Linked DNA regions of Drosophila melanogaster. Changing the gene in region 1 together with any one later gene gives a genetic interaction. Each region holds a gene or a part of one and is shown on either strand. Other genes may lie near its edges. The genes, in order: nudE and dar1.

Evidence for each region.
Region 2: of nudE (region 1) and dar1, changing one suppresses a phenotype caused by changing the other (phenotypic suppression), as found in Drosophila melanogaster (one study listed by BioGRID).

Annotation. Positions count from the first base shown.
Region 1 is NT_037436.4:9,894,340-9,907,435, forward strand, and holds nudE (nudE), read left to right. Parts: upstream 1-4,901; 5' UTR 4,902-5,016; exon of another isoform or gene 5,017-5,048; intron 5,049-5,386; 5' UTR 5,387-5,665; coding exon 5,666-5,745; intron 5,746-5,813; coding exon 5,814-5,967; intron 5,968-6,083; coding exon 6,084-6,357; intron 6,358-6,421; coding exon 6,422-6,679; coding exon of another isoform or gene 6,680-6,765; exon of another isoform or gene 6,766-6,858; intron 6,859-7,003; coding exon 7,004-7,095; intron 7,096-7,221; coding exon 7,222-7,497; 3' UTR 7,498-7,573; downstream 7,574-13,096. Other genes in the region: Hez (hezron), read right to left, coding at 5-193, 251-331; CG6707 (uncharacterized protein), read right to left, coding at 1,421-1,537, 1,619-1,783, 1,840-2,049, 2,115-2,296, 3,590-3,716; CG46387 (uncharacterized protein), read left to right, coding at 4,392-4,829. UniProt on the Drosophila melanogaster protein: Chaperone protein with functions in nuclear localization. Required for centrosome duplication and formation and function of the mitotic spindle.
Region 2 is NT_037436.4:3,619,790-3,632,779, forward strand, and holds the start of dar1 (dendritic arbor reduction 1), read left to right. Parts: upstream 1-6,562; 5' UTR 6,563-7,292; coding exon 7,293-7,355; intron 7,356-12,990. Other genes in the region: CG14974 (uncharacterized protein), read right to left, coding at 687-902, 953-1,023, 1,083-1,176. UniProt on the Drosophila melanogaster protein: Transcriptional regulator which promotes dendrite growth by suppressing, either directly or indirectly, the expression of the microtubule-severing protein spas.

The DNA.
Region 1 (13,096 bases):
CTACCATGGGCAAATCAATCGGTTCTGGCTGTTGAACTTCAGCCGGCGGAATTGCTTCCTTTACTATTTCAATGTCCATGCACAGGGATAGGTTCACAATGGTCACATTGCAAGTGGTCTGTTCGTCGCCACCGCCATTGCTTGATGGACACTTCATTATCAGCATTTTCACGCCCAGATCGAAGGCCACAACCTGGGAAATTGAAAGCATTACATAATCATAAAAATAATAAATAATATTTAGTTTTACCTCGCCCGAAATGTTGTCGCCAAAACAAGTCTTGCAGCGCACAATAGAGCCCACAGTAAAGCAAGGAGCCAATGATGACATCTTGGCCAAGGAACTTAAAAACTTTAAAAATGTAATCGAAATCGAAAATCCCAGCCGATGTCCGATGTCAAGTTCAAGGCACTCTATTCTACTTTCATAGCCTTGTCATTTTGTCGCCAAAAAGTTGGTGGTGCTTGTGGTTTTATTTCTTTTTATTTACAGTGTATGTATGCTAATTTATAATGTACTAAATATAAATGTTGTTGTATATATATATATATATTTCAAAAGTAAACCGTTCCTTTTAATCATATATATATATGCAATTTCGCAGTTTAGCAGTTGCTGTCTAAATTAATTTTCTTTATATCTGCATGAGCGTTTGCTTGTTCTCTGTTGTTCAAGAAATGTTGCTTTGTTTATTTGCATTATAATTATGTATTTATGGTATTGTATATGCGCGTATGTGTATGTACCTTCATTAGCACTATTAGCATACCCTTCAAATTGTTTCTAACGCCAGGCAACAAAACGCTTTCCTCCGCTTTGGCGAGAACTGAGAAAAAGTGCATTGGTTAAATTTTAGGCAACACAAAACTCAAAAGCGTATCAACGAATACGTAATGTATGAATACCGAAATATCTTGCAGGACAGGCACGAACGGATAACAAATCGGACACTTAAACAACGAAACTGTACAATCTTTAAAATGGATCCTGACGATTCTAAAAATGAGATGCACTGTGGATTGATCGGTCGCTGGTCTAATAACTAATGACTGCCAACACAGATCGGGGTTTTCCTTTTTTACTTTTAGCACTTGAATGGTAGCTGCACGGCGACCCTTGAAATATTCGCTTTTAGTATAGTGTTTAGTTAGTTACGGCCTTAATATCCTAATTATGCTCTTCAACGGGGAGACCTTCTTTCGTAAATTTAGCTAGGTTTGCTATTAGTTTTGCTCGAAACGAAGAATTTTTGTATGTAGCTGAACTGCTGGAGAAATGTTCATATGTTCCGTCTGCAAATTGGCTGCTTGTGTTTAGTTTTAAATTTAATATCAAAAGGAATGATATATATGAATAATATATATATATAAAAATAAAACAATGCACTTTCTTCCTTGCTACTGGCCCCGTGCTTTAGCTTTACATTGGCCCATCGATGGCGCTCACTTTAAGGCGGAAATAGTAGGCGGACCTGGCCAGCATGCAACCCGAAATCACGAACAGCGCCACGTAGAGGAAGTACATGCCACCATGATCCTGGAAAAATGCAAAAGGAAACACACATATGGGTTTAGAAAATCACATACTTCAGCTTGATTTTAAATTGATTTGGCTTACCGAAGCAATCGAGTATGTGCCGATAGTTACAGCGATGCCTGTGATGAGGAACACCAGCGCCACGATGGCGAACATCACGGCGCGGCTGTTGGCAAAGCGCGAGCCCACCGATGAGACCTTCCTGCAGTGTGGACACCGGGCCAAGGCGTTGTGATACGTGTTGAACTGTAAGAGCAAGCGTTACAAGACTCCTGCTGCTGTGATTTGGATTAATAACTCACCAAAAACGTGTCCGAACAGTGGCCACAAGTGACGCGGCACATGCCCGGCATGGTTGGCACGGGCGGGGTGACGGGACTTGGGGCCAGGTTGATGATCCTCTTGCAATTGGGCCTTGGACAAGCGATTCGCTGCGACGAGCTCTTGCAGATTAACAAACAGTTGCATGGGCAGCGAACATACTTCTTGCCCGCTGGAGCGTTCCGAATGGGCTGTTGATAGCCAAAAGCGTATTAAGTTACAATTGGATTCAAAGAATCTGCTTAGAATTACTCACAGTAGCCTCATTGCAGTGGGTGCACTTGACCACGTGCTGCTCCCGCTTCGTGGTGATGTCAATCATGTGTTGACATACCCGACAGGTGACCATCGGGACGCCTCCGGTGTTGGTACTCTGCTGATACGGCGGCGGCAGCTCATCGGGTCCAATGCAAGGCACTGCGGTCGGTGCTCCATTGCCTAAAATTCCATTGCAAAGTATTATTAACTACTTATAATATTGTTAAGACCCATGCCCTTCAAAGGCGAGACCTTTGGTGTAGAATAAATACATCTCGCCAGCAGAGTTCGCTCAACCACACTGCTCATCTGGCGGTGATTGGCTCATGGAGGGAGTGAGAACTGCATTTTCTGATAGTGTGCAGTGTGTGGCTCTGGGAAGCTGCGATAAACCAAATGGGTCAATGTTTTGGCGTTATGAATGCAGCTTTCTCGTACAAGCATTAAACTAGTGCAACTAGACCGCAGTTGTGGTTCTCGTCTCTCGATCAAAACAAGTTCGAACTTTGTGAAAGACGTTTTTAAATGAAAACAACGCAAAGAGTAACATCGCACACACTCTTTAGGAAAATTGATATGAAGTGGATAAATTGCAAATAAAGTCATATTACTTTGGCTAAATAAATATATAATGTCAAAAAGAAAGGAATACAGAAAGATAACCTATGCAAATTAATTGGGAACATGGAAAGTCGTAAAGCCCTTGTAACTAAACTCTTGTATATATTAATGATATGGACAAGCTTTTTCCGAGCTGAAGATCAGGTTCCTTGGTAAACAATGGAACCACTGCTCATCGCAGACCCTCATTTTCGCCCTGTATTGCGATAAGGCAGCGAATGACATGATGACTCATGGACTCATTGACTGCCCCCGCTTAACCACCACTATAGCAACACCTCCGAATCGATGCTGATTAAACAGCTGTGGGGAACGCTTTTTGCGCTGATTACGAGCGTCCTAGCATAAACAATAACAAAGGCGGTGCAAAAATTTTGCCGATACCGGCGTCGAGTAACTAACTACAATCGATCTTTACATTTTTGGCAGCTCTTCACAATTTCGTGATAAAATTACATTTTTTTTATGGTGTACGTGGCCCATTTGATATTTAGGCCAATAAGAAAATTTTATATTAGGTTGTAAATTTTTGGTAATACCAATAATACTGGGCCCTATTAAAAAATAAAAAAATGGCAGATAATTTAAAATGGCATTTGGGCACCACATATCCTATCAGTTTTTCTTTCTGTGCAGTCCCATTGCTCTCCCCCCGCACCAAACCACACGCATTTATGACTCAGTTGGGTGAAGTGTGAAAATGCCAAATGAGACGGCGAGCAGACAACTCGGAATCACGGCGTTGGATCCGGATAAGTGGAGCGCCCGCACACTTGTTGGGCTTCCAATGGGTTGCCCGCCCGGCTGATTGGATGCGGGTTGAATGCCCGGCTTTACAGTAACGATACGCACCGTCCTCGTTTGTGGCCACCGATGAGTTGCTGCCGGGATTATCGGCACCCTCGTCCACGGCGTCCACGGAATTGTAGCCATTGCCGTCGTCCTTGTTGATCAGGCTTTGTCGCTCTGGATCCGCCATTGTGGACTATCTTCCGATAAATGGATATTTATATGTGTGGACTATAATCTCTATATGCTGGAGCAATTCCCGTTAGGCTGCACTTCCAGTTGCCTTTGTTTTGTTGTTGCTGTTGCTGCGGGGGCTGCTGCAACGCGTTGATTTCAACTGGAAAATGAGTGGGAAATCCAATAGTTTAGTTGCTGTGCCACATAATTTCGGACGCAACGAGCTCTTTGTTCACGATTGCCGCAGTAGTTTGGTTTTTTTTTTCTTCGTTCGTCGCGGTTTTCACTCGCGTTGATTGAAACACATCCTCCCTTTTTTCACTTTTCGGCATGCGCCGCAATTAATCAATTCGATGATGCTGCATGTGCAACGCCCACGCGAGCTCGATTGTCGCACTCACACAGTTGACATTTGGTTATAATACTGGCAATTGCGTTAATTGTTTAACAATTGCTGGCCATAATTGTGCTATATTTTACCTTATTTTTGTTGAAAATGCACTGCAGTCGCTGCGATCTGGCCACACTCTGGCTAGCTATCTGGCAACGATGTCCCGTTTGAGATTTTTCAGTTGCGGCCCTGCCAGGGAGTTGCCACATCGTTGTACTTGGTAAAGAACCAGAAACAGATCAGCGAAAAATTGTTCATTTTTGGAACCAAAACAATCCAGCGCGGCTTAAAACAAATATGTCTAAAATCACGAAAAACTCCAATAAAATTGACAATAAGGATTCTGTAAGCGGGGAAGGCTCAAATAGTGGGGACGATAACACGTCCACAAGTTCAAGTGACTTTGAAACAAGCAGAAAACACAAACTACGCCGCAAATCCTGTCGAAATGTATCATATCATTATCATGCGCTGCCCATGCGCGTAGTTGGCGAAAATGTTGCAGCACTGCCACAAACTCCCAGCTCCACTCGTGATTTAACACTAAGCTCAGCTCAAATAATTGAAGATAGTTCCGACTCTGAGTTTCATATTTCGGACGATACCAGCAACGATGCGCCGGCCAACAAATCGATAACGTTCACAGCACGTCCATTAGAGAAATATGATTTGGAATATATAAGAAAACTACGTAAACGCAAAAAAAAGCCGAGTAAAACTTTATATGTTGATTAAATTTCAAATAACAACTGTTGACCAGGGCTGGAAACGGCAAATGCCCATCTATTGGCCAACACTGGCAACCCAAGCCAGGGTTGGCTTGTGCGTTTTTGGAGTAGTGGTAAATTTTTACGAGCATAACTATTTACACTGATTTTATGTAAATAAAACAAACAAAACGTAGCAAAATTAAGTGCAAAGTGTAAGTAGTAAATGTGGACAGTCGTGCTGTATAAAATTCTAGGTATAAACACTGGAATTCTACGAAAAAATCACCGATGATTTCATTTCCATGCAGTGCGTTGTTGTATGGGAAACTTCGTCGTAGCTATTTGTTGTTGTTGTTGTTGCTGCTGCTCATCACCATCATCCTCGTTGTTTTCGTTGTTGTTGCCGCAGCAGCTGCGTCACAAAAATGAGTTTTGTTTAATTTGATTTTATTTACATTTGATATGGACAAAACCGACTGCCCTTTTAGGGCATCGAACAAGAACAACAGCAACAGTAACTACAAAATTCAGGGCAAACACCTGTTCCTAATTGATTTTTCACTTTTCTTCGCCGACTTCTAGTCTATTCACCACCCCCAACACACAAAACAAAAAAAAAGTAAAACTACGACTTGAACAACAACTGTGTTTTGGCATTTTAATCACAGCAATTAAAAACAAAGCAGCCAAAAAACACGAATAAATAACCCAAACAGTAATAGACCAACCGTAGTACATAGCATTGTTCAGAAATTAAAAGTTAAATCAATTCGAACGAACGAAATTACAAACCCATTTTGACCGCCGATTAGTACACAAAAACCAGAAAAAGGAGTTAGCAGCTAAGGAAAATTTGCAGAAATGGAGTCGCCCCCGATGTTCAATAGTGTGGAAGATGAGTGCAGATATTGGAAGGAACGATCTAAGCAGTACCACAAAGAGTAAGTGCCCATCCCTATTACAGTCTCCGAAATCAGCCATATAGCCTAGTTTTACTTTTAATTTTCAGGTGGACAGACGTGAAACAGGAGTACGACGAGTTTGTGGAGCAGTCCCGCGAAATGGAAATAGAAATGGACGCCACTCTGGACCAGAAGCAGAGTATAATCAAAGATCTCACAGCCAAACTCACAATGTTTGAGCGGGAAAACGAGTCTCTCAAGGTAGCTATAAGCTAAGCCCGATTTACACAAACTGAGCTTAATTCTTAGACTCAGTTTGCGTATATGTGGCTTTGAGCTCCCGACAAGATTAGTCTTTACAACTATTTCATTCTCAGCTCAAGTTGGAATCGCATGGCATCGATATGTCAAACATGGAGAAACAGCTGGAAACGGTGAAGAAGGATCGCGACACCATGAAGGTGTACCTGCGGCAGCTGGAGCAGAAAAACGACGATTTGGAACGTGCCCATCGCATACTTAACGAAAGCATAGAGAATTTCGAGAAGATGCTGGATCAGGCCTACGAGAAGAACGCCCTTCTGGAGCTGGAAGTGGATGAAAAGGGATTGCTGCAGGAAAAACTACAGCGATTAATGGATGAGACGAGAGGTGGATGCATCTATACCAGATGTCCAGCACAGACTTTAAAACTAATTCATCAAATCTATTGCAGATCTCAAACAAGAGCTGAACGTCAAGTCACGCTTTACCCCAGTGGTCAATGGAACGAGCGTTCCCACGGCAAACGACACAAATACGGTCAACAGCTCGATGAACTCGTCCGCCTCGCTGCCAAATGGTATTGTTGCCAATGGCGAATTGGTAAAACACGACAATGCTGTCGCCACAAGAGCCACCAGCGTCAGCGTCAACGCCCTCAATGGCAGTTTAGTTAATAGAAACGAATATAACCAGCAGCATTCGCTTAAGAGTAAGATACTAAGTTCCCTAAAGAAAACCAGACGCGCGCTAAAACTGTCCAAGACGAATCGCCAAACGTTCAAGCCATGCATTTAGTATTGTTTTTCCATTTGTTTCTTTTTTACTTGTTAACCAAAAAATGTAGCCCGCTTAAGTTCCTCATAATTTGTAATTGTATTGTAAATTATTAAAATTAAGAGCCCAAATGTGACGAAAGAGTTTGCAACATTTCTTGTAGGCGATTTTTGTACGATTTGTGTTTGCGTCTGTAGCTAGTAGTTGACCTAACTAACCTCTCGACTAACATGCTGTGTACGTGTGCTTCCTCTTGCAGATCCCGAGAATCAAATCAATGGCAATTCCATGAACCCCAGCTCCCGCACAACGGCGCTCAACATTGTGGCCGACATGTTAAGAAAACTAAACGTAAGTCCCTCCGCAAACTATAAGTCCAGCATGCCATCCTACCTCATCCATTGTTTCGTATGTACATATGATCCTTGAACCCTTCACTCCCACCATCGGCTTATGTGTTTTTCCCTATGTTTTTAGTGGGACAAGGCACTGCTATGTCCCGAGTGCGAAAAGTTTCGCTGCATGTGTGAGCGCCCGGCAAGTGTGCAGCCGCCGCCGCCGCCATCGGCCAGCGAGGCAAGTCTTTTTCGCCGCGCCTTTGGCGGCAGCAGCAGCTCAGTGGCCACCAGTAGCGCCCAGTCCACGCCCACCAGCGATTGCAGCTCCGCCGGAAGCCTCAGTGCGGGCTCAAACATTTTTAGGCGCTTCGCCGAGCGCATGCGAAACTCGCCGGACGCCAGCCTGCCGCTCTGACAATGCGCTCGGAACTTTAAGGCTAATTTTAGTTGCCCTCCGCTTGCATTTATTAATTGCATTGGTTAATAAATACAAAATTTATTTGTACCTTATTTTATGTTCTTTGTTTTTGTTCGTTATGATTTATTCAGTTTCGAAAGCGCATAATAACTTGGCTTGCTGACTAAACTCTGCACTGGGCAAACCGTTGCGAAATGAAATTTTCATTAATTTATTTATTATATGATGTGCCCAAATCCTTCTATAGTTAATTTTTCATATAGTTCACTGACTGTTGCTTAATCCGCTCTCGTTTTGTGTTTTTTTTTTAGGCGATGGAGACGAAACTGAAGACGTACCGCGAGAATGGTCAGCCAATGCCGCAGCGACACCGCTCCTCCCAGCAATCCACACATCCGGCGCTGGCCGGACTGCCTTGCTTCTCGCTGGATGCCGAGTAGTGTGGATTCTGCAGTTCAGCGTGATCCACAAACCCCAAATCCGAAACCCAATCACCTAGGGCGGGATACTGTTCAGTTGGCTTTACGTTTACGTTACGTTACTTTAATGTTACTGTTCGCATTAATTAAGTTTCTGCTGCCTCTTTATTTATTTGAACTAAAATGACTTTGTATAAACCACTTGCGATATTATGAATTACACAACAGTTGATGTTGTTGTTTCGAGCCCAACATATATAACATGCCTTAGTACGAATTAAGTGTATACCTAAGCTATAAGTACCCACTCGGTTCACTTTTGACTTGAATTGTTAACTCGAACGCAATTGTTTTGGCATACAATGTGTTTAGCGACTAAGTTCAAAGTTGATCAACCAGCAAAACAAGCGAAGAAGCTCTGTCCAAGTATTATACTTCAAGCGGACAACCAATACTCGTAGCGTTTAGGAAAAAGACAAGATCTAACCCGGGAAAAAAAATTATTAAAATTATCGAAACGATCATCTAGTTATATTGTAACTATCCCCAGAGCTATTTTCTGTTTATATTTACCAGCGAATATAAATTTGTAAAAATGCAAAATATTGCTAACGGCAAACTGTATAAAGCATAACAAAACTCCAACGAACAGGCAAACAAAATATATATATATATGTATGAATAAAGAGCAAAATAATTAGTTTAATAGAAACCATCCACAAGCACATCAATGTCGATGCCGTGTGTGTTGCAACTAATTAGTTTTAAATAATATTTGAGTTCATTACACAAGTTGAATGCTGCGTCAATTCCTATGCCAAGGCCGAATTTTCATATCGAGAGCTTTTCGCAGGGGAAACTTTCCCCGTTTTAGACCCATTTCATTGCGGATTTTCCCGGAGCTTTAGCCCCAACCAAAAGGATGCTGAGCTCACTGAGTTTGTGGATGGAGTCGGCTGGTGGACGCACAGTGCTCCATGGTGGGCAAAGTAAACTGGATCTGATGCCGACCTTGCTGGCGAGAAGGTCCCGTTGGCGGTAAGCTAATGAAAGTACTTTGGTTTTTATAAGTAAGCACCGGGTGGGTTAGCGTCGTCGAGTGCTTGGCATTAAGCGAGCCATGCTAGCTGGTTGGCTGGAGAACTAACTCCTTTCCAGATGCCAAATCCGCCACAGCAAATGCAGCGAGGGAAAAGTGAAGTGAAAAATGAAAATATGACACAAGCTTTTATCATACGCATAGCACTTACCAGGGCAAAAAGGGATGGACTTTCCTGGACCTGCCTGGTGTTGCTGTTGCTCTTGTTTGCTGCTGAGTGCATTGTTTGCTCCCGTGGGCGGTATGGGCGGTCTAGGTGGTTGTCCAGGGGGCGTGGCAGTGGCCATAAGCGGATTGGGAATGGCACAATGCAATTGCCGTTTGAAATAAAAGTGAGCAGACACAAAGCCAGTCCTGCATGAGTGCACCGAAAAACAATTCGGATGCATCGGTTTATTCGATTTAGTTATGCAACTATTTATTTATTTATTTACTATCAATAAATGTGGGAAAATTCCTGTTTTGGATAAAATAATAGAATAAAAGATAAATTGGTACTTAAAAGTACCATTTTAAGTTCTAAGCATAATGTTTTATATTTTTTTTTTCTAAATAAAGTTATTGAATAATATTGAATTAAGAAGAATTTTGATATTTTTCTAAAAGTGAGTTGCTGACGATAAAGCTGGGAACTGAAGGTTATTCCCTTCCTTGGTCGCCCCTTTTTTTTTCAAAAGTAATTTGAAGAATCTGCCTCGTTTTTTTGCGCCGAGCCTGTCGCCTGATGAAGTCCCGCGGGAGGGACGATCCCGGGCAGCTAATTAACTGGCCGCGAATACCATTTGCCCAGGAGCACAAAGGCCAACAATCAGAACCTGGCCAACAGTTCCAATAAGCGGGTCAAGCGCAACTGCGAGCGAACCCGATTTACCCTCTGCAAAGCAAACAAACTCAATTGTTTCGGCATAAAAAACGAGCAAACAGCTCGTAAAAAACTGTATCAAAACACTGGCTTAAAGCGAAAGCTTTCGAAATGCCTCGAAAAAACAGGGTGTAAGGTCTTTTGGCCAAATTATCGAAGTCATTAAACGGAATGGCTTAAAGACTTCAAGCATAACTGAGTGTAGAATTTAAGTCGGTAACTGACAGAAGAGTGGTTATTAAACACGTTTTAAGAGCTATTGGTCGTAATTTAATTACAAAGAACATTTAGTTGAGTGGTTTACCCATTAAAAGGTAGTTTTTCTAATCTGACGCTTTGGGAAATATTATTTATATATTTTTAATTCAGTTCAGTTGCAACTTAGGACTTTAAAGCTTTGATATTCTGATTAAGTACATTTATATCCTTGGACCTAAAAATATTAAAAGGATTTTCATGTTTACTATATATACAGTAACCTTTAACCTTTAAAGTAAATAATTAAATATGCTTGAGCGAGAAATATACTTTCGCTCTTTAACGATGCGATTTGCATTTTTCCTGTATACATTAATTTACCAAAAAACAATCAAACAGGAAACCGAAAATTCAAATTCCTACTGTATCATTATCTACTAATTCCGTTTCGCATGAAATTTTTGGCTACCAACGAATTCCACTTCCGGCGGCACCCTCTAAAAATTTGGCGATGGTGGCCCAAAGGTTTACGGCATTTATGGTCTTTAAATATTTAAAATACGCGACGCGTCGCCGTAATGTAGGCACGGAAACGAGTACACAAACGGAAATAATGATGAGGTGTGTATGCCTTTGTTTTTGCTGCTTTCTGGATGCCCGAGGGTCCTGAAAGCCAGGACTATCCACTTCGCATATCCGTATATTCGTGGCGCCCAGCTTGAACATCAAACAAAATCGATATGTGGGCGGTGTGTATGATTTTTGGCATAAACAAGCAACAAGCAGGGCACACAGGACACAACACACACACACATACATACACTTTAGCTGGCCGGGGGGCCGTTTACAGGTTTGGTCCTTGCTTTGTTTGAGCGCCGCAGGACGCTCATTTTTCGTAATGAGTTCGTCTATGGGCGGAGAGGATGGGCTAACACCAAAACTGGTCTGGCTGCAACAGGACCAACTGAATCTGTTGACCCAAAACTCGGCATATCCCTGAAAAGTATTTCCCTCTTTTTTTTTGGGTAAAAAATGGTTGGGCGACATCACTTGGGGAAAGGATATTTGTTCACTGGCCAGCTGCAGCTTACAAAGGGCTTGATCTGCCAAAAAATGCGGTGTTCAATTGCTATTTTTTGACTTCAAAGAGTCAAGTAATATTACATTTTCTGCATTGTTATTAATTATTATTTGAAACTTTTTGTAGTTCTCTATAAACAAGATTGTACAATAGTTAAGATAGTTAGTTAAGTTTAATAGTTAAGTTTTCTGATGTATTTTATTTAGGAAACCTAACAATAAACAAAGTGCTTGTCACTTCATTTCACAACTTTTTAAAAAAGCCTAGTTTATTTTTATGCGATTTTCATCTCACTCATTTGTTGATTTCCTAGGTGTATAAATTATACTTTATTTAATCTGCGATGACTGCGTAAAAGCTTTTTGCCCCGGCAAGCGAATCAAAAGTCCTGGATCTATTGGTGAGGGTATAAAAAACGCAACAGTTCGCCTTGATGCGAGAAATCCTTAAGCACACACCAATACAGAAGCGGAAAGGGAAGCGCGTTCGCTCACATACAGCGAGAAAATCGTCCTGGGGGTCGTGTTTGCTAGTGTTAGTGCGTGCTTGTGCGTGTGTGTGTGTGTGTGTGAGCTTGTTAGGAGTTGCGCTGTCGTCTGCCATCTTCATTTCCTGTTGCTACCTTCCGGTTGCCATTACACTGAGCATTTGCTATAAATAATTTGGTCTCGATTTGAAGTGTGAGCCGTGATAATGAAATCCCCTTGATTAGCCAACGATTGGGGCATATAGATGGGGATATGGATACACATATGGATGGAACTGCAGCAGATGATCAATCAGGCGGACTGCGCTTTTAATTAGCACCCCCACATCCCCCGGATCCTTTTGACCGCAGCTGAAGTGGTGGTGCTCATTAGCACACATTTAGAGATTTAATTTAATTGCATCGAATTGGATTCGCTTGACCTTTGCTTTTGGCCAACTGGATGGATGGTTGGTTGGTTGGATAGTTGGTGGAGGAGGAGGAGCAGTATGTCCTCGTGTGCACAAGTGTCCTCCTGCAATTAGATTAATTGACTTTCTGCTGCTTCACCTTCGCGTTATACATACGTACATACGTACGCACATATATGAATTTTATGTTGCGCTCAATGAATTGCCGTCAGTGGCCTTATAAAAATTGCCTGCGAAATGGGCCAGAACCCATGTGTAAACTGTTTTTTATGACACCGTCGAGATGCTCACCTTTGTGCTGTTTAGTGAATGCCAAATGGCCTTGGCCATTGTCTGCTTTTCCCATCCTGATTTACAACCCAGACGCACACACACATACGGAATCAAACCCATGAACATGGCCGAATATGACATTCGCATGTGCTCCACAAATCTCCGTGGACCATTTTTACAACCTGATCCCGGTCTCGACCGGATTCCTAATGGAAGTGCCGCAAGTAAATCATGCAAATATATATCATATCAACTGAACAATAAGGCCTGACAATCGATGGGGCATCTCGTTAGACGGGTATTCAAGGCAAGAACATTAATCAGCTTATCCATGGCAAATAAAATCAACCACTTTATGTATAGATGAACTTACTATTTATATATGCTATAATATGAGAGAAAAAACCAACAGATGTATTTTAGGCAAATAACACTCACGGATGTATTAAACTCCGCATACGATCTTGATTACAAAACACAACTAAAAAGAAAATGTTGATTGATCAAGTGTTTTTCACATTATTATTTCAAATAGAAGTATTTGACAAAGCTTAATACTTGCTTACTACATTGACAATACTTAATAAAGGAAAACATTTTTCCATCAAGCTATCCAAATAATTTTCCGCTTGCGAAATGCGAGTTGCACAATATCAAGTTTACTGGGAATTTCACAGGTTTTGCAATGACAAAAGCGTAGCATACTTTTTGGGGCAGCGACAAGTCAATTTTCAAACAATGCGCAACTTTGTGCTGTCCACATCAAA
Region 2 (12,990 bases), 6.3 Mb from region 1:
CATAAGGTATTCCCTTGGTTCATCATTATGGCGACGGAGGTTTTGTTCTCCCTTTAATATACAAATAAAGTTGGAAATTTGCATAACTGTCTGGTCTGGTTTTGGACTGGGTGTCTTCTTCAGTGTTCCCAACCGACACTTCTCCATTTCTCCCTCTCTCTGGCGGCCACCCATTCCATTATCCTGGCGGATATTAAACATTAGCGCGTGCTGGACACATCCTCGGCCACCCGACGACTCCTGCCACCAAAAATAATTAAGGTGAAAATTGCTGTCGACACGCAAACCCCAAACGAATCGAAAAGGGGAACAATGGTATGAAGCCAAACTGAGGCAAAAACCAAAACTGAAAATACATTTTTTTGTGGCTCAGAGACTCTGAGAAATGACCACAAAAAATGAGAGAAAAAAGCAGCTGATAAACCGGACGATTGGAGATGACTAATGAAACCTATTAGCCCTGTGACAGATGAGTTAAATACGCTGGGAGCTGTGACCGCGATGATGGATAAGCTCATTAAAGACAAAGGCCCCGGGATCATTACCGATCATTCGGTAGCGGCTCCTTCTATGCTGACCCCCGGATTAATTGAAATCCGCCGGTGGTCAAGCATTTTCCCCTCCAGAATCAAAGTGATAAGCTCATTTCTGACATTTTCTTTATCAGTCTAGTGGAGTCGAATCAATCAAGTCAGCAGACTGAGTCCATTCACGGCGTCTGTGGGCACTCGGAAATTCCACTGGCGCTTCAAAGGCTTCGGCATCCGTTGGTTGAGGAAGAAACTCCGGCCATAGTCGACGGGTTTCAGTCTCCGCTCGTAGCCCTCTGGAAGATCATCCACATGGCAACTGATCTGCAGATACTCCAGGGAGTCGTTCACCGTCAGTTTCTCTATGGAGCACTTTTGGGGGGATTAAAGCAATACAATGATATAAATAGAGTCTAGCTTACATTATCTGCCAGATGCACAAAGTCATCTTGGATCTTTTGAATTTCTTGACAGAGAGTGGCCAGACCGGCTGCTTAAAACACATTAACCTACAATATAGTAATACATTTTTGTTTCTAACTCAAAACTTACACTCCTTTGGACTTCTGTAACTGTCGAAAAAGCCCTGAGCTAGAAAGGATAACGCAACGAATAGCAGCGCGAGGCACCGTGAATTTGGATTCATTTTGGAATTTCGTTAAATTGAGACCAAAGACTGTTTGTCTTATTGATGAAATTGTAGGCACTAGAAACAAGGCCACTCAGATGAAATAAAGTCAAAATATTATTTAAGCGAATGATGTGTTGGATGAGTTTTCGTTGAAAAGTGATATGCTTAGTTGTTCGTTCAAATTGCTATCGCTGTTTAAAATTAAAAAGTATCTTAAGAATCTTCTAAGATTTTGCATGGTTTTCTCCAGATATCAATTCTTATCAAAATCAAACGAAATTAGTTTAGAGCGAATTGGCGCTAATCAAAACCTCTCGGCTTTTGCTCTAGAGCTGGTAAACTTTTCCAATTGGTCATAAAAATCGGCAGAAAATGGTTTGACGAAGAGCATCGTAAACGAAAACAAATAGATAAGACATTTTATAAGCACTTCTCAACAAACGAATAGTAAGCAAATAGAAAACGCAGGCCCTTATATGGAAATTTGGCCAGAATTTGGGTTCACCAAACAAGTTTCATAATTTGCATGTCACATTCGAAGAAAAGTTCTCGGCATTGATAAACTTTTCCGATTCGCCATAAAAATCGATAGAAAATCCTATGGAAATTTTCGGCTTTCTGTGTCAGTGCCGAATATCGAATATCGCATAATGTCTGAAGTCTGGCCTATGTCTGCAATGTCTGACGTGTGCTGGTGGGTTTCTGGGCTTGGCCAGATTATGGTTACTTTTATGATTTAATTTCACACGAATTTATATTATTTCGGTGCAATTGTTTTGTGCGTCGTCGCATTTATGGTGTATCAGTGGTTTATGGTCTATGGCTTTTGGCTTTTGGCCAAGGCCAAGGAGAGATTTCACAATCCGAAAGCCAAAAACCGAGGGACTTGTTAGCCCAATTAATAATTATTATTGGCCGGAGTTAGAGAAGATGATGAAGTCTTTGGTGTGGGAGGCCTTGGCTTTCTCTGCGCCTGCCCACAGCCGAGATTTAATTAATTGCCGCGTAAAATTAATTTCATTTCAATTGTGCAGTCGCATCATTAGCAGTTCGCACCCCCTCCCGAAAATAGTTGGGACCCCGAAACCTGCTGAGTAAGCAATGATATCGTTTGTAAGTTTTGTAAGTTACCCCCATACCATCGACATCTCCGATCCCCAGCTACTCTCAAGGGCCATATCGTTTCTACTTCGCTTCGAGTGGGCTTGAAAGGTGATTAACGCGATCATAGAAATGATGTCGGAGGAGTACCGCACTGGGGGCTCATCTTTCCAACACCTGAAGTGGTACAGGGAAACGGGAATTTAATGAAGCACTCCACTGGGAGAAAATATCACCCGAAATGCTAATCACTTAATTCAATTTAACATCAGCTTATTGAAATGAAAGTCCTTCAGAACTTTTGTGACTAAAGGCTGTATAAGCAAATATGAAGTAGTATATTAACAGATAAAACACTACGACAATTGAAAGCGAGCGAACCAATAGGTAATATACTCTCCAAATAATGGACGTTATTACTAACAATAACAATAAAAATGCTTCGAGACCTATAATGTCAATTTTATTAGGCAGCAAAGGATGAATCTTTAAGATAGTACGGGGAGGTTATTAGGATATAAACGATAAAAGAGAATAAAATTTGTGACAAGCATTGTTCATTTGTTTATTTTCGATAATATAATAATATAATGAATCTTTTTCTTTACAGGTTTAAAATGATTTCCGATTGATATAGTTTTTTCTCGCTGTGTCGTAGATCGTTAGATGCTTAGATCATGACTCTTTCTTTCTGCGCTTGCGCACGCGCTAAATGTCAAAAAAGTGCCCATGAAGCTCGGGAAGAATCAGCCGCCTGCTGTTCGCCGCCGCAGCTCCGCTTTCCGCCATGCCACGCCCCCCGCCCTCACCTGAAAGTGACACGCCCTCAGGCGGGCCGCCCACTTGGAACATGTCGAATCATTCATTCAACGCAACGAAATGTGGGCTGCGAGGTGTTGAAAGGCGAGAGGCGAAAACCGAAATACAAAATCCGAAATCTAAAAGGCATTTTGTGTGCATTTGTAATTTGTGGAGCTGCACACAGCATTGCGCTGTCATTATTTTCTGTAACATTTAGCAAAATCATTAATAATTGTTGCCGCCGCTGCAGCGACACAGATACGCACTTAAAAATTGTCAGACAACAGTGACTATGCCTTGGTGTTAACTTGATTAGCATTCGTATAAATTCGCATTCGCAGTTGCATCTTGGCCGCATTTGCATAGAATGCACATTTCGGGGACCCAATTATTCGGGGTAACTAAAAGTCTTCTGATCTTGATCGCCTGAGCTGTTAGATGGAATTCGAGGTGGCCCCAATTCCAATTCCCCTGGCTGAGATTTCAATTACCCTCGCATATTATGCAAACAAATAAATTCGAGCGATAAGGTTAAGCCGAAGAAATTATGAAAATATTTCCCAGAAAATGCGCAGACAAAACAAATTGCCGCGTAATCTCTGGGACCCTTGCTCTTGGAAGAAATAACAACTCCAGGTTGACAATGCACGGCCCGAATAAATCGAAATCATTTGGGAACTTGTCCTTCTTTATCGGCAAGTGCCGCCAAGTGGAATCAATCAAGCGGAGAACCATTTCCTTGGAGGCTCTCAGATCGTGTTTTTCATATTATTTCGATTCCGATTTCGAAGCGTGACAATATTTTGGCCACAATTCAAACGAACTGATCTCGAGGGTCTTCGGTGGGCAATTAATCATGTCGAGCTGGCCGATAAGTTCTGCTCGGTCGAGTGCAGTGAATTTCTGGGGGGAGAGTCCTCGAATCTCCAGTCTCATAACAGGTAGTACCCATCGACATCGATCTTTGTGTGAGGTAAGAGCTGAAACAGGGGCTTCCATAAATCCCGCAGATATCGCTGGCGGGAAAATCAATTACTCTACAAGGATGTGCGCCTCCAATTTGAATATTTATGGTTAACTGATCGGATCTCGACATAAAAGCGCCAAAATTGATACATTACAGGCTTTTTTTTTACGGGGATTTCGGTAAAAACGTGAGTAAAGAGGATATAAATATGTCATTTATAAAGAGAAGTAAATAGAGTTTAAAATGATTACAGAAGGATCTAAGGATGGTATATACTCATAGACAAGTCATTATTAAACAAAATTTAGTTTTTTGTGCATAAAAATCGAAAAAATTGTCCAAATTTGGAAAGTTATACCTCGTTGTGCTCAGATCTTTATCCTTTACAAACACAAAACAACTGCCATTAAAATGTGTAAAAAAAATTTTTTTGACCATTTTCGAAAATTTTGATGATGGTACCCCTTACAAAAAAGTCGAAAAATGGGTAAATTTTTTTTTTTTCAAAAACTCTTAAAAAGTGATTTGGGTTTTCTTCTTAGGTTGTCGGGTGTAAAAAACAGTGCTTCTTATAGCGATGTGTCTTATTTTGACTTAGTTATAACATAATAACTGAAAAACACGCATTTTCGTTGTACCCTTCAATTAATAATTTAATTTACAGTGCCATAGATATTCTAAAGCCCCTTAATCATAATATGCATATTTAAATCCCCAGAGCGCGCATATCTTCGTACTCAACCGCTTCATTCTAGGCCAAAAGCGTTATAAATTGGCTGGCATTTGTCAACCGGCGAACGGAGTCAAGTACGGGCTTGGAAATGTGTCTTTGGCATATCTCACGGATGCCAAACGTAAGACAAGCAGCTCGAGAGCAAACAAAAGCGCGAAGACAAACAAATTCGAATGTATCTGAGTATCTCGGCTTGTATCTGCAGACGTCTGCGGTGGCATTAATGGCAAATTTGCACGAAGTCAATAGCGAAAGCCGGGGAATACTACAGTCAATTATCGGTGGCGTCGAATATGGACGAATGTATCTGCGAGTGTAGATACTTTCGTATCTGACCATGTATGTTGATGTTTTTGTTTTTCCACCTGCGTGTAGCGTTGTTGTTGTTTTTTCCACTTACTGCCACCGTGTACGCAAAAGTGTCTCGCTCTCTCTTTCTAACCGCATGCCCCGTCCCGCTCACTCGTTGTATCTTGTATCTCGTGTTTCTCGCTCTTTTTGTCGACCGCCGATTGGCTGACTTTTGAGTCTGCGCCGCTATCCGGAGAGGCCACACCTCTAAAAACCCCCTTAGAAAACCACGTTTGCGTGTTATTTCAGATACTTTTGGCCCCCCTGCACCAACCATTTTACCCCCCCGCGCGCGGAAAACATAAACTTGTGGCTCCCTAATGGCCAAAAATAAGGAAACCAGGGGGATGAGTCGAAATGAAAATGGCTTTTATGTGTGGCGTGCGTTGGGGTAATTTTATGATTCAGGGAATTACACAGGGAAATGACAGTCCTCGTTCTTCTTTTGCTTTCCACCTGGAATATGTAGATACAGATACCTTTTAATTGTCGCTCTATTGATTTCCCCCAAAGAAAGCACATAAGCTGACTTAATTTATGCTTTAATTCTATTTAATTATGTTTTTTTTTTACCATCTAAAACTGCATGAGGTCTATGAAAGATTCGCGTGTTAGCTGGACAGTTTTTATTTTGTTTAGGCTCTATCTAAAATGTGTCAAACTTAATGAACGGTGTAGTAAAGCGGTTTTAATGGGGGAGGTTCTGTTCGGGGATTATGCTTTGTATGTTTTTGATTTATTACTCCTTAAAGGCTACCAATTTTATACCTTAAGTTATAAAACTTATAAAAAAAGAACGAGGTCCTTAAAAAACACTCTGTCGTATAAAAGTTCTTTACGGAAATCAATTAAATCAAATCGAAGCCATATATGTAGATTTTATTTATATAAACATTTAATTGTAAAGTTTTGTAAATTTAAATGATATTCTAATTGATCGGATTATAATAAAATTATTACTCTAAAATTAATAATTTTTATTTATTTGTTACTGAATACTCCATAAGGGACTTATAAACTTTAATTTCTAACCTCCTTGCCCTATTTCGAGATCTTTTCTGAAGCGTGGTTACTTACTTTTTCACCCATTACCACCTCTACCGCAGGTCAAATCTAAAATGGCGAATCCCAGGCGGTTCATTCAATTAAAATCGATCGCAGCTCTTATACTCCAGTGTCTCCAATAAGATCAGCTGGCTGGAACACACCTGAGAGTCGGATATAAGAGCGACAGATCACCTGGGCCGAAAGTGGCGGAGAGCGGACCAGGTGAGCGGAACACCTGGTGAGCAGAGTATCCGACAGATACAGATACGAAAGGTGAGCGAGAGCGGCACAGAGCGGGCAGTGGAGGGTTAAGCGGCGGGGGTTAAGCGGCAGCTAGCTGACTGGCTTTCTGACTTTCGAGGCTCGTCTGCGCGAAACCCGCGCTCGTCCAATCAGTACGAACTCGGTTCCCGCCAGCGCAGTAACAACTTCGCCGACGAGCGCGTGAATCGCCTAAATATCCACTCAAGCAACACAGAAAATAAGTTATAAATTGAAACCCGCAAGTGCCTTACCATTATCTGTAGAATATTGCAACGAATTTACTGCCCATATATACAGCATATCGAGAGGAACAAGAGATACAGATACAAATAAGATACAAGCCGAAGCTCATCATCGAATGCGGAAGTGAGCGAAAGCCGCCGGCTTTTATTAATTTTGTGCAATTAACGCAAAGGATACAAAAAATCAGTGTGCAAACAAAGGGAAACAAAAGAGTGAGAGAAAGTGATCGAGTGCCTTCATTTGCATATCCTTGCAAATTAAATTAATTTAACAACAAATAACAAAAAGCAATTGAATAATAAGAAAACGTGCCGCAATGTCTGTTGCTCGCAGTGCCATGTCAAGCTGAAGTATTCAATAATAATCCCGAAATTCGATTCCGAATACGATTTTGAATTCGCATCCGAAATTGATTAATCACTGTGCCTTGAACTGATCGTGACTCGTGAGTCAGAGCAGCGCCATTTAATTGTCCGCAAACACAAAAGTACGGAGCCCAGTTGCAAATTGTCGGGTTAAATATTGGTAGAATATCGGTAGAATCGGTGGCATCCCCTCCCCCGCCAGGCATTCCACCTGGCCAACAGTCGAGTGAAGGAGCTTCATGCGAAAAACGCCGCTTAAATGCATACGGATATCATAATTGGTGATCAGTTTGCCGCCAACAATAACTACTGGGTGATGCAGGTGAGTTCGGTTACTAGAATATTTAATTAAAGGCTACTTAAGACATTCTGGAAATTCCAGCGAAAAGATCTAGAAAACTTGATCTTTTGTAATAAATAAAATCCAAATAGCAGATAGATATTTTCTATCAAATAAAAGGCAGTGTCGAAATTTCAAATATCAATCACTTAAATAAAATTCCCTAGCTTGATCAACATTCAAATGGAAATATATCCAACTATTATAGAAAGAATATGTGTGTCTTTAAACAAGGATGAACACATCACAAAGCGTTTAAATATCGTAATCATTAGCCAATTAATTTGCAATCACAGGTTCCTTGTCAAACCCAATTCAAATGAAACAAAAAAAACTTTACGTACCAAAGTGCGCTAATTAAGCCGCTTTTATTGCAAATTAATTTTAGCCAAATTTGACAACAATAAGCGAGCACACAACAAATACGAGAGCTTACAAATCACATGAAAAACACCTTAAGCCCAACAACTTCCGCTTATCAAAATGCAAATCTTGAACAGACCAGATTTTTGACGATTTTTGTACGAATTCGAGTACGAGTATAAATAAAACGCACGCGGCAATCACAAATTACAATAAAACCGAAAACAAATTAGCTCAATTATCGATTGAGATGAGGAGTTGGACTGCGTAATTTTTGAGTGTTCTCGAGTGTGTTTCGACAGAGATTAACACCTTGGATTTCCTCAGGTGTTCCTTCGGTTCCTTCGCCGTTTTTTCCCCATTTTTGTTTTTTTTTGTTTGTCAAATGCGACAATCGATTTGTAAATCTTGTTATCACCTGCAGGAACTCTCGGCTCTTAAAGCCGTTCTCAAATACACGGTCGGTTAACTCTTTTGAACTCATCCACACTTTTCACGCGTTCCGCAGGGAAACTGTGGCGATCACAGTCCATCCGATGCGATCCGATCCGCACTCCTCCTTTCGATATCCATGTTTGCAGCCTGTTTTTCTGTTTTCCCGGCTTGTTTGCCTCAATTGTTTGACTCGCGCTTACTTGCGAAGCTCTGGGTAAATATTTGCCCCCAACACTTTGCCAATGTGCCAAGTGTCCCCAACTGACTGACGAGATGGTTTCAACACGGTTCCTACCCGGGAATATATACATATAGCTATAGCCTGATCATCGACTGGGTGGCATTGATCGATGGTATTGGATAGTATGAGAACATAATTACAAACGGCAAGGGTACATACGTATGAGTAATATGTCTTTCCGAGGAACTGTTTATCCTGTTTATTGCTGAATGTCAATAAATACTTTAGAGTGAAACTGATCGCACAGATTGTGGTTATTAAAGTTATCGAGTATAGGTTAAGTTTTTAGGCCATACTCATTTACCATGAATTAATTTTTCAAAGTATACGTACTTTTTTATTACCAATAATCTTGAGCCTTGATTATCTTTCTTATAAATTTTATGATGTGTAGGCTATCTTCCTAAATTTTCCTATCATTCCCTGTCTTATTGCCTTATCTCAACATTTTACAACCGTTGGTCTACCAGCCTTACGCCCATTGATAAGTTCAGTTTCCCGCAGAAAGTCTAGCCTTGCTCAACAAAAGCTCTGTGTTAAGTGCCTCCAGCTGCCCTCCTCAGAACACTTCCTTCCCCCAGAGATAAGGATCGAACTCCGGGAACCTCAGCGAAACAGATATACATACATAGGTACAGACGAAGAAACCCGAGACATTGGCGATTCCGGGTAAAAAGGCATCGTAAAAGAGCTGGGTGTTCGACAAGTGTGTTGTGCTTGTTCCGCCTGTCACCATCAATAGCTGCACTAATTAGGCATGTGTTGTCAAATATTTACACACAGTCGCAAAAGTACAAAGCGCTGTTGGCCCCCTTTGGCCCCCTGGAAGCCCCATCCACTTCCTCCAGATAGTGTAAGCTTTTGGGTGAGGGGGTGGACTTCTTCCGTTTTCCACTGATTTAACAGATATGATGAGATATGGTAAGGTAATTCCCACGACTCACGGCGATTATGACGAAAAACTTTCGTATTTTATGGCTCTAAACGAAATTAGTTTACGATCGCTTACAGGGAATTAGCTGCACTGAGTATAGAAGTATCCAAGTATCCGAGTATCTGCGTATCGAATACATTCAGTGAATAATGGAAGTAATCCAGCACGTAGCCAGGCGGTTATAGCGCCGACTTTTGCGGCTCTGATTAATGACCCTGAACCATTGTGCTTCAATCGTAAATAATTAAATATAGATAAAAATCAGATAACTCTAAGTTTGAGCTTTTGAAAAAAAAAAGGGGGGGGGGGGGTGTTTAAACTAAACGGGCCGAAGAATTATGCAAATTATTTAAGACTAAACGAAACTTGCAGTCGCTCCAGTGATTTGTCAATAAAAGACATTTACAAATATACCAAATGAAACGTATATGAGTTTATAGCCTATCTGAATCAATAGGAAATATTTGCATTTGCGAATCGGAATCAGACAAAGGCGGCCGCCTTCAAAGAATCAAAATCGGTGCTGAAATTTAACAAGAATTACGGCAATTGCCTTGCCGTCTGCTCATCTGAGCCATAAAAAATCGTGGCAAATTAGATAGAAAACAGCCGAATAATGGCCCGATAAGATAATGATATCCCTAGTAGACTTTCCATTTCGAAATGAGTTCAAGATTGGATCGAGCCCCCGAACAAAACACCGATTGCCAATTACACACCGTCCAGACAATGGCAGTTAAATAATAACTGGAGTAAGCCATGAAAACAGTTGGCCAAAATCTCATTAAGGCCCAGTGGGAGATCGCCCATCAATCGATCGATTCCTATGCAAATCTCGCCAGTAATTTCTGTTTCCACCATAACAATGCCAAGTTTTTAGTGTCTAGTCTTTGCCATATTTTGATTTCGCCAATTCATGCAAATGAAAACGAAAACTAGCACACAAATGCGCCAAAAATGGCACAAAAAAGTCGGGAAAAAAATATCATTCATTTGCAGCCAGTTTTGATTGATTTGCCGCCTGGCCAAGTTGGAGGTCAATCGTGCCGCGAGAATCAATCACTCACAAGCCACTGGGTGCACATAGAATTTGCGGTTTTCTGGATAGCCTATTATTGAGAATTAAGGAATTATAGTTGAAAGAAGAACTGTATTATCCTTTAGCAGTATTAAGCCACCATCTTTAATTTCTTCGCATACCCCTTGTGCTGAGCTTTAAAAACCAATGTCTGAAATCATAATATCGACTATCCATCAATTTGGATTTTTTAAAAGCTTTTCAATAGAATCCTCACTATTGATTTAACCCAATCCAAGCTCTTGTTCCCTTCTTTCTTACCCAATGTTTATGGCACGTGAGTGAGCATTTATTGACCAAAGGCAACCCTTTTGACCGGCTAATTTCAACATTTTTTTTCGACTCAGAAAAAGTATCACCTTAAATCTTTGATAGATTGCCGGGCCTAAGGCCCAAAAAAAAAAGGAGAAACATGTTTGACTTCGGCGAATTATTGCGAAAACTAGTTTGCCCAAAAATAAGAAAAAAGGCTTTTATGCTCACAGAGGTGCTAAAACCCCCACAACATTGAAGCGCAATTCGTTTCAGGTTTGATGGGATCAAAAGCTCAGCGGATGACAGCGAATGAAATGAAATAAATTTCATTTAAAGCTCCGATGCCGCATTAAGATCAATTATTTGATTATGAAACAAAATCTGCGTGAAATCTTCGAATAGTTGACCCAAGCCGATGTCAAATGCCGGCGCTGTAAATTTCAATTTCGCATCGAATTCATTTCCACAACAAGGTGAGAAAAAAAAAACACATTTGATCGGGGTGCGATGATAAAGCCATCATCGGATGGTCTCCATCGCTCGATCAGCTCGATCGGTCGTAAGGCCCCAACAAAGGTTCAAACAAACCAGTCCGACACGAAATCAAATTGCAAATTTAAATTGAAATCGAAATCACAGCACATTTCGTAAGGCACTATTGTATATAATCCGTGGACCGATGGGCGATATCCCATCCCAGCCGCATATGCGTCTAAAAACACTTCAATTCACGTTATGTGCTTACTTAACTTTTATCACCCGGCCGAGATTTCTATGATCGATCGCTAATTGCCAGAGTACAGAAAGGTACTCGAAATGGCTATAAGTCAAGAAGAAGCGCCAGGTACGAGTGGACAGCATTGAGATCTCTTCTGGGCAATTGACCCACTAATAGGGCCTGTCAATAATCGCCTTTTGGCCATTGAACTTTCGACTCTGGCCCCTACTACAAATTTCCTGAATAACACAAATTAATTGCCCGCAAATCCTGTGTCCGACCGATCAGCGTTTATTCAACAGTTTCATTTCAAATATTTATTGATTCCACACAATCTACATGTTGCGCATGCCAGTTGAGTTCGGCCACCAATGGGTTAAGAGCCCCTCGACATGGCTGAACGCTTTTCCAGCTCTGATCGGAAATTGGTTTTGTAGGCCCTGGGTTTCAGGGCACTTCCTGTGCTATGTTATTTGTAGTGTTCTGTTCATAGCTTCACTGGCCACCCCAATATATCCGAATATTATGATTGCCTAGCGTGAAATTGTGAGAATATTTCCAAAACGACGCGTCAGCGACATCAATTAATGTTTTATTATGCATTCCTGTTTGCCCCTCAAGGATATCCAGGGATATTCAATATCCCGGTGATATGTAATAGCTGTGCGAATGGTTTTATGCAAATGAGAGTGAGCGGGGGTGGAAAACTAGTATGTATAGTGGGGAAACTACATTTAGAAGACTCTAGGGAAGTGTCAAAATGTGGTGGAAAACTGCTGTTTTCCTTCCTTTGAAAGCAGAATAAACGTTGGTGTTTAACTGCCGTAAATGAAGAGATGACAAAACCTCTAAATTCTCTGTGGCAGAATTTTCACGTAAACAAATTCAATATCACATACAGACTCTATTAAATCCGCTTTCAAATAACGATCGCTAGAACCCACTAAACCAAATCGCTCTCAATAGCAAAATGGCGCGCTAGACAGGAACACTGAATAGTAAATAGTAAATAGCAAATAGCGACTACAATAACCATATAACCATATCAATATCAGTCAGTTTCGAGTGACTTGTCATTAGAATAAATAAACTTATATATAGGCAAAGGCAAATACGAATCACATTTAAAGTCAGCCAATAATGAAAATAGATACACACACCAGCGGCCAGCACAATCGACAGCTAATAGTCAACAACATCAGTCAGCCGGGCAGATATGTAAAGTAAAATAACTAAAAAAAAAAATAAATAAAATACTTAAGAGCCGGGGAAAAAAACTGTCGCAAATTGCGGTCATTCGTCATGCGCACATGAGCAGAACGACGTCAGCAACATCGACGGCACGGCAGCAACTGTGTGGCAAAACGCTCGGCAAATGGCGGCGAGCCAGTGCAGGGGTGGGCGGATTTTAATAGGGGGCCGCAGCCGTCTAAGAGGGGGGAGGGGGGGTGTACCGAAGCGGTACAGCAGCAACGTGCCACATATTAACATATATTTGCTCACTCTTCAATAAGCATATTTAAATGTTATGAAGTTTCTTTTGGGATTTTAATTTTTTTTTAAATTTTTATCAACTTACTACATAAAAATAAT